Yarrowia lipolytica: one gene and its partner. The main gene of each other region encodes a partner of the protein of the gene in region 2 in a complex. Links are inferred from orthologs where the notes say so. Each region holds a gene or a part of one and is shown on either strand. Other genes may lie near its edges.

Region 1 (5,471 bases), on a different chromosome or scaffold from region 2:
AAGAATGAGGCCGCCCAGCAGGTTCCCGACATTGGCGGACCCTCCATTATGGCCAAGATGGGTAACGAGACTCTCAAGGCTGAACTAGGAAGAGCATCGTGGAAACTGTTCCACACCATCATGGCCCAGTACCCCGAGACACCCACAAAACAGGAGCAAACCACGCTGAAAAACTACATATATCTCTTCTCTCAGGTCTACCCCTGTGGTGAGTGTGCTGAGCACTTTCAGAAGCTGCTGGCAAAGTTCCCCCCACAAGTCTCGTCTAGAAACACTGCATCACAGTGGGCTTGTTACGTCCACAACCAGGTCAACGAGCGGCTTGGAAAGGAGATTTTCGACTGCAACAATGTCGGAGAACATTACAAGTGTGGATGTGCCGAGGACGAGGAAGGAGGCGAGAAAAAGGAGGAGGACTCCGATATCATGGAGCCCATGGAAGATGATTTCACGTTTGGTCTCAAGTTGGATGAGAACGAATAACGAAGGTTTTATATATTAATTACTCAGACATTGTGCTATCAAATGAACTGGAATTGTACCATTCAAAAGCGGCTATACACTGTCATGTCTACGTTTTATAGTGTGTTTGGATATGGGGGCGGTAGTTTCTTACTACATACTGTAGCTACTGTATAAACTCATATGCACACACTCTACAAGTTTCGTCTATTCGAATATTTATCGATGTATAAATTATATGGTACATGTACGTAGGTCAGGAGGCGTCTGAGATATCGTCATCAGTCTCAGATTCCGTCATCAGTCTCAGATTCCGTCATCAGTTCAGATCTCGTCTCGCCAACTATCGCTTCTTCTTTTTAGTATCCTTTCGAGCAGGTTTCTTGGCCGGGCCCTCGTAGTGGGAATGGCCCAGTTTGGACACGGCATAGCCGTTTGACCAAGAGCATACTCGGTCGAATTCATCATCATCGTCCCCGTCAACATCGTTCTCCTTCTGATTCTTCTCGTTCTCCTTCTTATCCTCCTTGGTCTCTCCATTGTCTTTGCCGTCACCACTAGAAGCACCATTCTGGTGGTCCTCGTCTGTGTTCTCATCCTTCACCTCCTTCTCGTCGTCCTTGATTTCCTTTCTATCCTCCTTTCTCAGTTCGTTTTCCCTGCCGAGATCCTCTAATCGAGACACCATTGAAGCCTTGATCTTCTTCAAGACAGACAGCAGCTCCTTCTTAAGCTTGTGTTCTCGAGAACCCCACTGGTTGAGCCACTTGATCAACTCACCCAACTCCTTAGGGTGCTCCAAGTAGCCCCACTTGGTGTAGTCCTCCAAGTACCCTTCTCCCTCCACTTCACGCTTGGACTGGGGAATGTCACCAGTAAGGCAAAACTTGATTTCCTCTTCAAACGGACCTTGGACCCAGAGACGGCCCATGGTGAATCCGGTACCTTCTTCTTCTTCTGAACCGCCGGCATCCTCAATACCATTACCTTCGAACCACCAGTACCGATTGTGGAACCGATCCTTGCCCAGAAGACGAAGCCGGTTCACATCTGCAAATCGAATCTCCTCGTCTTTGGCGTTGATGACCGCAATTATCTCCTTGAGAGTTTCCTGTCTGTCCTGGATCTTAGTCCTAAGAGTACTGAGCAGCTCGTCATTGTCGGTCTTTGACTTTTTGGATGGGGGCTCGGATTCCTCGTTGTCTCCGTTCCCCTCTGCTTTCTTCTCAAAGCCATCCTTGTCCTCGGGGATCTTCTTCTCCTCCATCTCAAGCTCAATACGCTTCACTTCGTTTTCGAGAACCCGAATGTCGTCAGAAACAATCTTGTACTCTCGCTGCTTGTCCACCTTATCTCGTCGAAGCTCAGTCACTCGACCCATGCACTCTTCGATGTACGCTCGAATTGCATCAGTGGGGTGGATGAGGTTGCACAGAATCTGGATGATTTTGACCTTCTGGGTAAAATCAAGGTCAAAGTACCGGTCACGTGCAGAGGCAAGAGATACAGGGGCTTTGGCAGCAGCCCAAACATCAAGACAACCGTTAATAAAGTCTTCCCAGGGCTCGTAGTAGGTGAGATTGTAAAGAAGACCAATGAGAATGACTTGCCAACCTCCATCCTTGAAGTTTCGACGTTGCAGGCGGGTCTTCCAGTCAACTCCCTTGAAAACAGCATAGTTAGCACCCTTGTTTTCAGCTCCAGGAGACACGGACTTGGAATTCTTTTGCTCCTGCTCCTCTTCCTCTTCCTCTTCCTCTTCCTGCTCCTCTTCCTCTTCTGCCTCCTCAGTCTCCTCCTTTTTGATTTGCCTGGACGAACGTCGCGTTCGACCCCTCGGCTCTTCCTCCTTGACTTCCTCTTCCTCCTGTTCCTCCTTCTTGACTTCTTCCTCCTCCTCTTCTTCCTCCTCATCATAGTCTTCTTCCTCCTCATCGTCACTGATGTCGTCAGGGTACTCAACCAGAAGAGAATCACTGTTGGTTCCCACAACTTGACTCAGGAGAGCACAATGAATCTCGTTCAACAGATCACTCTCACCCTCGTATCGAAGTGCATCAATAAAATCGTCGTAGGTGAAAGAGTCCAAAACAAGAACCTCCTTGTACACATTGATAAACGTCCACACTTCTAGAGACACCTCAGTCAGATCAGATGGATATAACTTGTCGAAATGAAACACAGGCTTGGGATTCACACCCACAAGACGGTGTTCCAGATCTTCCCTAATCACCTGTTTAGGGGGAGGACTTCGTCGTTCAGTGACCACTGATGCCAGAGCAGTAGCAAGGGTTTTGGCTCCCAATCCTGCTCCTCCATTGCCACCTCCGTTCTGATGAGATACAGGGACTTGGATGTCTCTTTCCTTGAGTCCAGAGAGTCCCCCTAATGTCCTTATGAGCGCGTCGGCAGCGTTCTTCTCCTTGTTCTCCATCTTCAGTTTCTGTCGCTGCAAAATAATGTCGTTTTTCTCATTGTCTCGAGCCTGTTTGGCCTTGAGTCGGTCTTGGGTACGCTGTTTTCGCAGTTCTTCAGGCGACGGGTTTCCTCGGTACTGCGTCAGGTGAACGGGCACTGTCTGGTCGATTCTATACTTTTCTGCGTACTCTGGACGCACCAGCCAGGGCGCTCCGTTCCAGTTCTCCTTCTTTGCAGAGTACTTGATGAAGGTCTTGAGGGTCACCTTAGTGAAGTTCTTGCGATCACGTGTCAGCTGCGTCTCGTCGCAAACGTACACCTTGTTTGGATCACTGACTGCCTCCAGTCTGTACTTTGTGGTTGCAGGTCGGACGTCTCCGGAGTCGAGAGTGATGCTGTTGAACTTGGCCTTTTCTCTAATGATGGCAGGGACCCTTTCGGTGGCTCCTGTGGCGGTTTCGATGATGGCAATTACGATTTCTCCAGGGAAGAAGTCCTTCTTGAACTCGCCATAGAGAGTATCAACGAGTCCATCTAGTCTGCTGATTGTGGAGAATTGAATGCGTCGAAGTACAGGTTCCTTTAGGTTCTCGGGGAAGGCGTCCATGATTTCCTTGGAGCCATGCAGCTCGCTTTTGAGAGCTTCAAACAGCGTGAGACACGAGTGGCCCGTGACCTCGCAAATGAACTTTTTCTGCTTGTAGAAGTCCATGCGGGTCAAATAGTCGTCGTAGTTGTTGAAGTACTCGCCCGTGGCATCAATCCACCACACTTCGTCATCTTCCTCGACGTAGATAGGTGGTGCAAAATGAATGGCTTTTCGCTTAAACAAAACCTGGGTTAGTAGCTGGATGTTGTAGATGTTGAGACTAAAATGTCGATCTGACGCGCTTGAGATGATGATGTACAGCTCTCGCGTCGTCTGTGTCTCTTGGTTTCAGGCTGGTCACTTACCATGGCGTGTCATGTAAATCGCAACGACGGGATTTGTGAATTTGGTGGAGAAATGGACAAGATGAGCGAGCCAAAATTACCACGCACATGGTTTGAGCTTTGCTGAACTTACATATAACTTACATACAAGTACAATATACACGCATAAACGCAGTCTCAAAGTATAATAGGAGCTTCGGTTTGATGCCAATATTAATCATAATGTGACAATGTAGCTTCATCCACACCGGACCTGTGGGTCGAACCAAGTATGGCCAAAAGTGCACGATTTTGTACTCATTTTGACCGCGCCAGTGAGCAGGAATCGCATGGCCCATCCCCAGTTGTATTTATATAGACCCATTCGTTCCCCCGACTTAAACCACAGCCACTTGCAACGTTGTACACAGTGCGCTAATCAATCAAAACGTTATAAGAGCATCGCATAAGAATGTTCGCAGCAGCAGGCCGGCAACATCTCAACCCCTTACTGAGCGGACATACGCCCATAGGAAGACGTTTGACAAGGTGGTGATGGTCTTAGAGCGGATATTTCGATGTGGTTTGTGAGCCTCTCGTCATCAACCCTCTTATCTCCGAATTATCTCCGACACTACTGTACTGCTGGTAGTACTCGAATAGATAGGGTTGGATTGGGTTGGGGCCTGAAGCCATACGAAGAGTGCTTAGTCTGGTGTCCATGATTAACTCGGCGTTTTGGATTTGATAACGTGCCTGTTTGTGTGGATGAAGGAGTGTTGGATTGGGTGTTTTCAGTATCACCATCTATCAACTGTACTCGTATGGTGAACACCCTTGCATCGTGTCTAATAATTGTATGGTATGTACACTACAGTATGTAGTAGGAAGCTTTCAGACACACTGGTTCCAACCATACAAGTCGCAAGGACATGTGATGCGTTTATGCTGATCCAACCGCTGTTTCATGCCACACAGCCCATATTCCAAACCTCTCATGGCATTTGCATGTACATCCTGTTCGTACTCGTGCCACCACCACCATATGGTACTGGGGGCTTCTTGTAGCTGTCCCAGCCATACACGCCTGTAGCTACGCGTGGTAGAGCCATAATTAAGCGTAGAAAAAAATCACCATACCGCAGCAGGAGCATGTTCGAGTATGTACAATACTGTACTTGAGTACTACTTGTACTCGTACTGTAATTCTACAATTATTCCTATCAGTATGTACACTGTACCCGGAACCTACACCAGTGTCTCAACCAGGTTATTCTCGCACTTTTGAACTCCCACCGTATCGAGTACAGTATCTGTACGTCATTATGAGGCTGGGAATAAATGCCGATCACGTGGCAGCAAAAGTTCTACACGTTTTGCCTTTCTTCCAATTGGGTGTTCCACACATTGCCCTCCCATCTCCCTCACCGCCCCCCTCGCACTCTATTTAGATTTAATTTGCGCCGTGGAATCGAACTCCCAACCTCCCGGTTCGGGCAGCTCATCGCTGACCCGCGGTACCTGAGTTACCCTACTGCTTGGCAATAAGGTAAAATATGTGCATGCCCCAACCTCGAATTGCCTCTTTGGGAAGCTGTATCAAAACACAATCCAAACAACTGTATTTGCTTGCATTGCATATCTATCCATCTTACTTGTGACATTAGGAGAAGAACCCA
Region 2 (3,202 bases):
AAACACAGAGACTGGAAGCCCAAACACACTCCCAGAGTAGGCACAATCACGTTCTTGTTGTTAGAGTAGATCTGGGGCACACATCCGACATCGGCGGAGTTCTGAGGACAGCCTGGACCGGGTCCAACAACTACTGCGTCAAACACACTGAGATACTTGTCAACCAACTCAGAAGCCGGCAGCGAGTCGTTGTGAATGGTAATGACCCGGGATCCGGGCACGGCCTTTTCAATCAGCGTGGTGAGGTTGAAGGTGAACGAGTCGTACGAGTCGATGAGCAGAATATTCATTTTCGAGGTCGGTGAACCAATACCGCACGTTTCTGTGTTGTTACAGATTACTAGTGTCAGATTTTGACCAGCAAAGTTAACCTTGCATAACGGTGATCTGGAGCGGGTAGGACGGGGAATATAACTGAAATTAAATACCCAATAATAGGGAAAACGTCGGGGAAAAAAAAAAGAATAAATCATTGAAACGATGGTAAACACAATGAAATACATTGTTAAGTTTCTACACATCTTTTTCGTCATCTTATATGCATTTCTTGAAAACACCAACTTAAGCCTATTGTTCTCGAGAGCGGGAATAGAAGGAAGCCGCAGAAAGCCGAATCCACACATATTTCCGGTAAATCAAAAGAGCAAGCTACAGAAACGTGCTTATTAAGCAGAAATGAAGACGACACATGGCACAAACACCGGCTCCTCGGCCACACTTCACCCGTTACTTGCTATTTGAACACCTTGTCTGATTGGTCATCAAGGGCCACTATCCGTTAACGTGTGGCTTGTCACCAGACTTGCACACTTTGAGGCTATTTTATTTGCTTAAATTGTGAGGAAGGCAAAAAAAAAAAAGAACAAATGAAAACACGAAATCCAGCCTGTGCCGTGCCATGCAATACAAGTAGCAAATAATATGACAAGGGGGACTTGTCTGGAGAGGTTGTTTGGAGGGTGTGGTAGAGGAATTGAGGGTCAATTGGCTTGAATTGATCAACACGTCTTCATGGTATTTGAACTTGAATTCTTTTACAACTACAATATTATACAATACGAGTTGGAGTAAAAACTCGTTTAAAATACAGTGTATATATTCATCCGACTAAATTTCGGATAAACAGGACTACTCAAAATAAGATTTCGGATCCCCCAACAATGCGGTTCAATTTGAGGAGTGGGTGAGGGGGATGTGTTTCAGAGGGCTTAGACTGGGAGCGGATGACACTAGAGTTGAAAAATTGGTCTGTTTCGTGCATTTTTGGGCAAGTTATAGAGATTGTAGTGGAGTGTACTTGTTCAACTATGTACGATAATTAGAAGGTTTTTGAATTTTTGATGGACAATACGAACACTTACGCTGGGTGTTACGTAAGGCTTTTTCAGCAACCAATGGAAAGGGAAAAGGGAGGTGTCCAAGGGAGGTGTCCAGAAATGAGCGTCGTGGGGTATTTGGCAAGTAGTATGAAGAGGTCGGCGATCGTGGTCAGGAGTGGTGCACTTTTTTTTAATCAGTTGATTCGTTTAACAGAATCTAGTGATTATATGATGACTTTTTTGAATGTTTTCGGAAAATCAGAAGAAATCATATCAAGTCACAGAGAAGAAATCAGATCGAGTCACAAAAACACAATCACTGAGTCAAGTATGTACATACGAGTAGATATCTGTGTTTCATCAATGTAGTTTTCGAATCGAAAATATAACATTCAAAGTAGATGTTGATTCAAGTATCGTAAAGTACGTACATACTGTGTATCGGTAGTTGCCTTCACTTCTGGACAAGGGTACAAGTACAATGTGTTATGTAGTGCGGCATTCGTACTCGCACTCGTATCGTACATTGTTCCTGTATTCCTACTGGATACATCATATAACCCGTTTTAATACCGCTTATTTTGTCTCGTGCCAAGGACATCTTTTTTCCCCCATTATTCCCCAATTCCCACAACAATCCTGAAAAAACAAATAAACTCGCCAAAAACAGGCCAATTTAAATTACGTGACGCAACACGATACAGCTGATGCGCCAACATCTCTGTTCGTCCATCAACCACACCTCACACCGTCACTTCCACAATGCCGCCCAAAGGACACAAAAAAACCGCCGACGGCGACTTCCGACCCGTCAACTCGGCCGGTAACACGATACAGGCCAAGCAAAAGTACTCGATCGACGATCTCCTGTACCCCAAATCAACCATCAAGAATCTGGCCAAGGAGACACTGCCAGATGACGCCATCATTTCCAAGGACGCGTTGACGGCCATCCAGCGAGCTGCCACGCTGTTTGTGTCGTACATGGCGAGCCACGGAAACGCGTCGGCCGAGGCTGGAGGCCGAAAGAAGATAACGCCCCAGGACGTTTTCGTGGCCCTTAAGGACGTTGATCTGGCTCAGTTTGTGCCCAGTGTGACCCAGAGTGTCAACGAGTTCGAACAGGAAGTTGCACAAAGGAAGAAGGACAAGGTTGTACGCGCCCAGGACGACCAGGACCATATTTCCAGCTCAGAGTCGGAAACCGAGGCGACAGAGGAAGAGGGCAACAAAAGAATTAGAACTGATGAGTAGAAGACGAGAAGGACAACGTGGCAACAGGACATTTAGATGCCATACTGAAAGATGCGAACATACTCAACACGCAGCTACGTGTGGTCAAGGTCACAAGCAGAAAGCCCTGATTGCAGTCAAAACACACTCTCCACCTGGCGCAAAAGCACAACCGACACATACGTTATCGCACGATAATAACCACTTACATACATGCCGCAACGGCATCAATACATGCACATTTATTTGATACACAGCAAGCCTACTGCCGTGCACTTGGGGCGGGGGTGTCTTAGATGCCCCGTTGTCATTGCCAGAACCCACGATGTAAAAGATCTGGACAGTTGCCCATATTGAATAATGAGCATGTCTTGATTCGCGTCGTACAGCACGACCAGACTATATGTTCTGGTCTCTTTCCGGTGACTCGAGCCTGTTTGTCATCCCAAGAGCGAGCTGACGAGTTCCACCAAATAAGGCAGCTTGTACTTAATGGTAATGGTCAGATCGACAGCTCAAGGCCTTTTGGTAATCTTGGAGCTCGACGGGTTGTCGTCCTCCGACTTGATGGCGATATCGGAAGGACCGTTCTCGTTGTCCTTGACATTGTAGCCGTGTTCATCGTGTACTCGAAAAGAAGATAGATAAAG

Evidence for each region.
Region 1: YALI1_A05473g (region 2) and YALI1_C31848g share a complex: the UniProt entries of both Saccharomyces cerevisiae proteins name them as parts of the ISW2 complex. The link is inferred for Yarrowia lipolytica from reciprocal best matches to the Saccharomyces cerevisiae genes DPB4 and ITC1.

What each region holds. Positions count from the first base shown.
Region 1 is NC_090772.1:3,183,210-3,188,680, reverse strand, and holds YALI1_C31848g (uncharacterized protein), read right to left. Parts: upstream 3,838-5,471; coding exon 3,835-3,837; intron 3,716-3,834; coding exon 806-3,715; downstream 1-805. Other genes in the region: YALI1_C31888g (uncharacterized protein), read left to right, coding at 1-483. UniProt on the Saccharomyces cerevisiae protein: Functions as a component of the ISW2 complex, which acts in remodeling the chromatin by catalyzing an ATP-dependent alteration in the structure of nucleosomal DNA.
Region 2 is NC_090770.1:545,301-548,502, forward strand, and holds YALI1_A05473g (uncharacterized protein), read left to right. Parts: upstream 1-2,081; coding exon 2,082-2,573; downstream 2,574-3,202. Other genes in the region: YALI1_A05459g (uncharacterized protein), read right to left, coding at 1-623. UniProt on the Saccharomyces cerevisiae protein: As accessory component of the DNA polymerase epsilon (DNA polymerase II) participates in chromosomal DNA replication.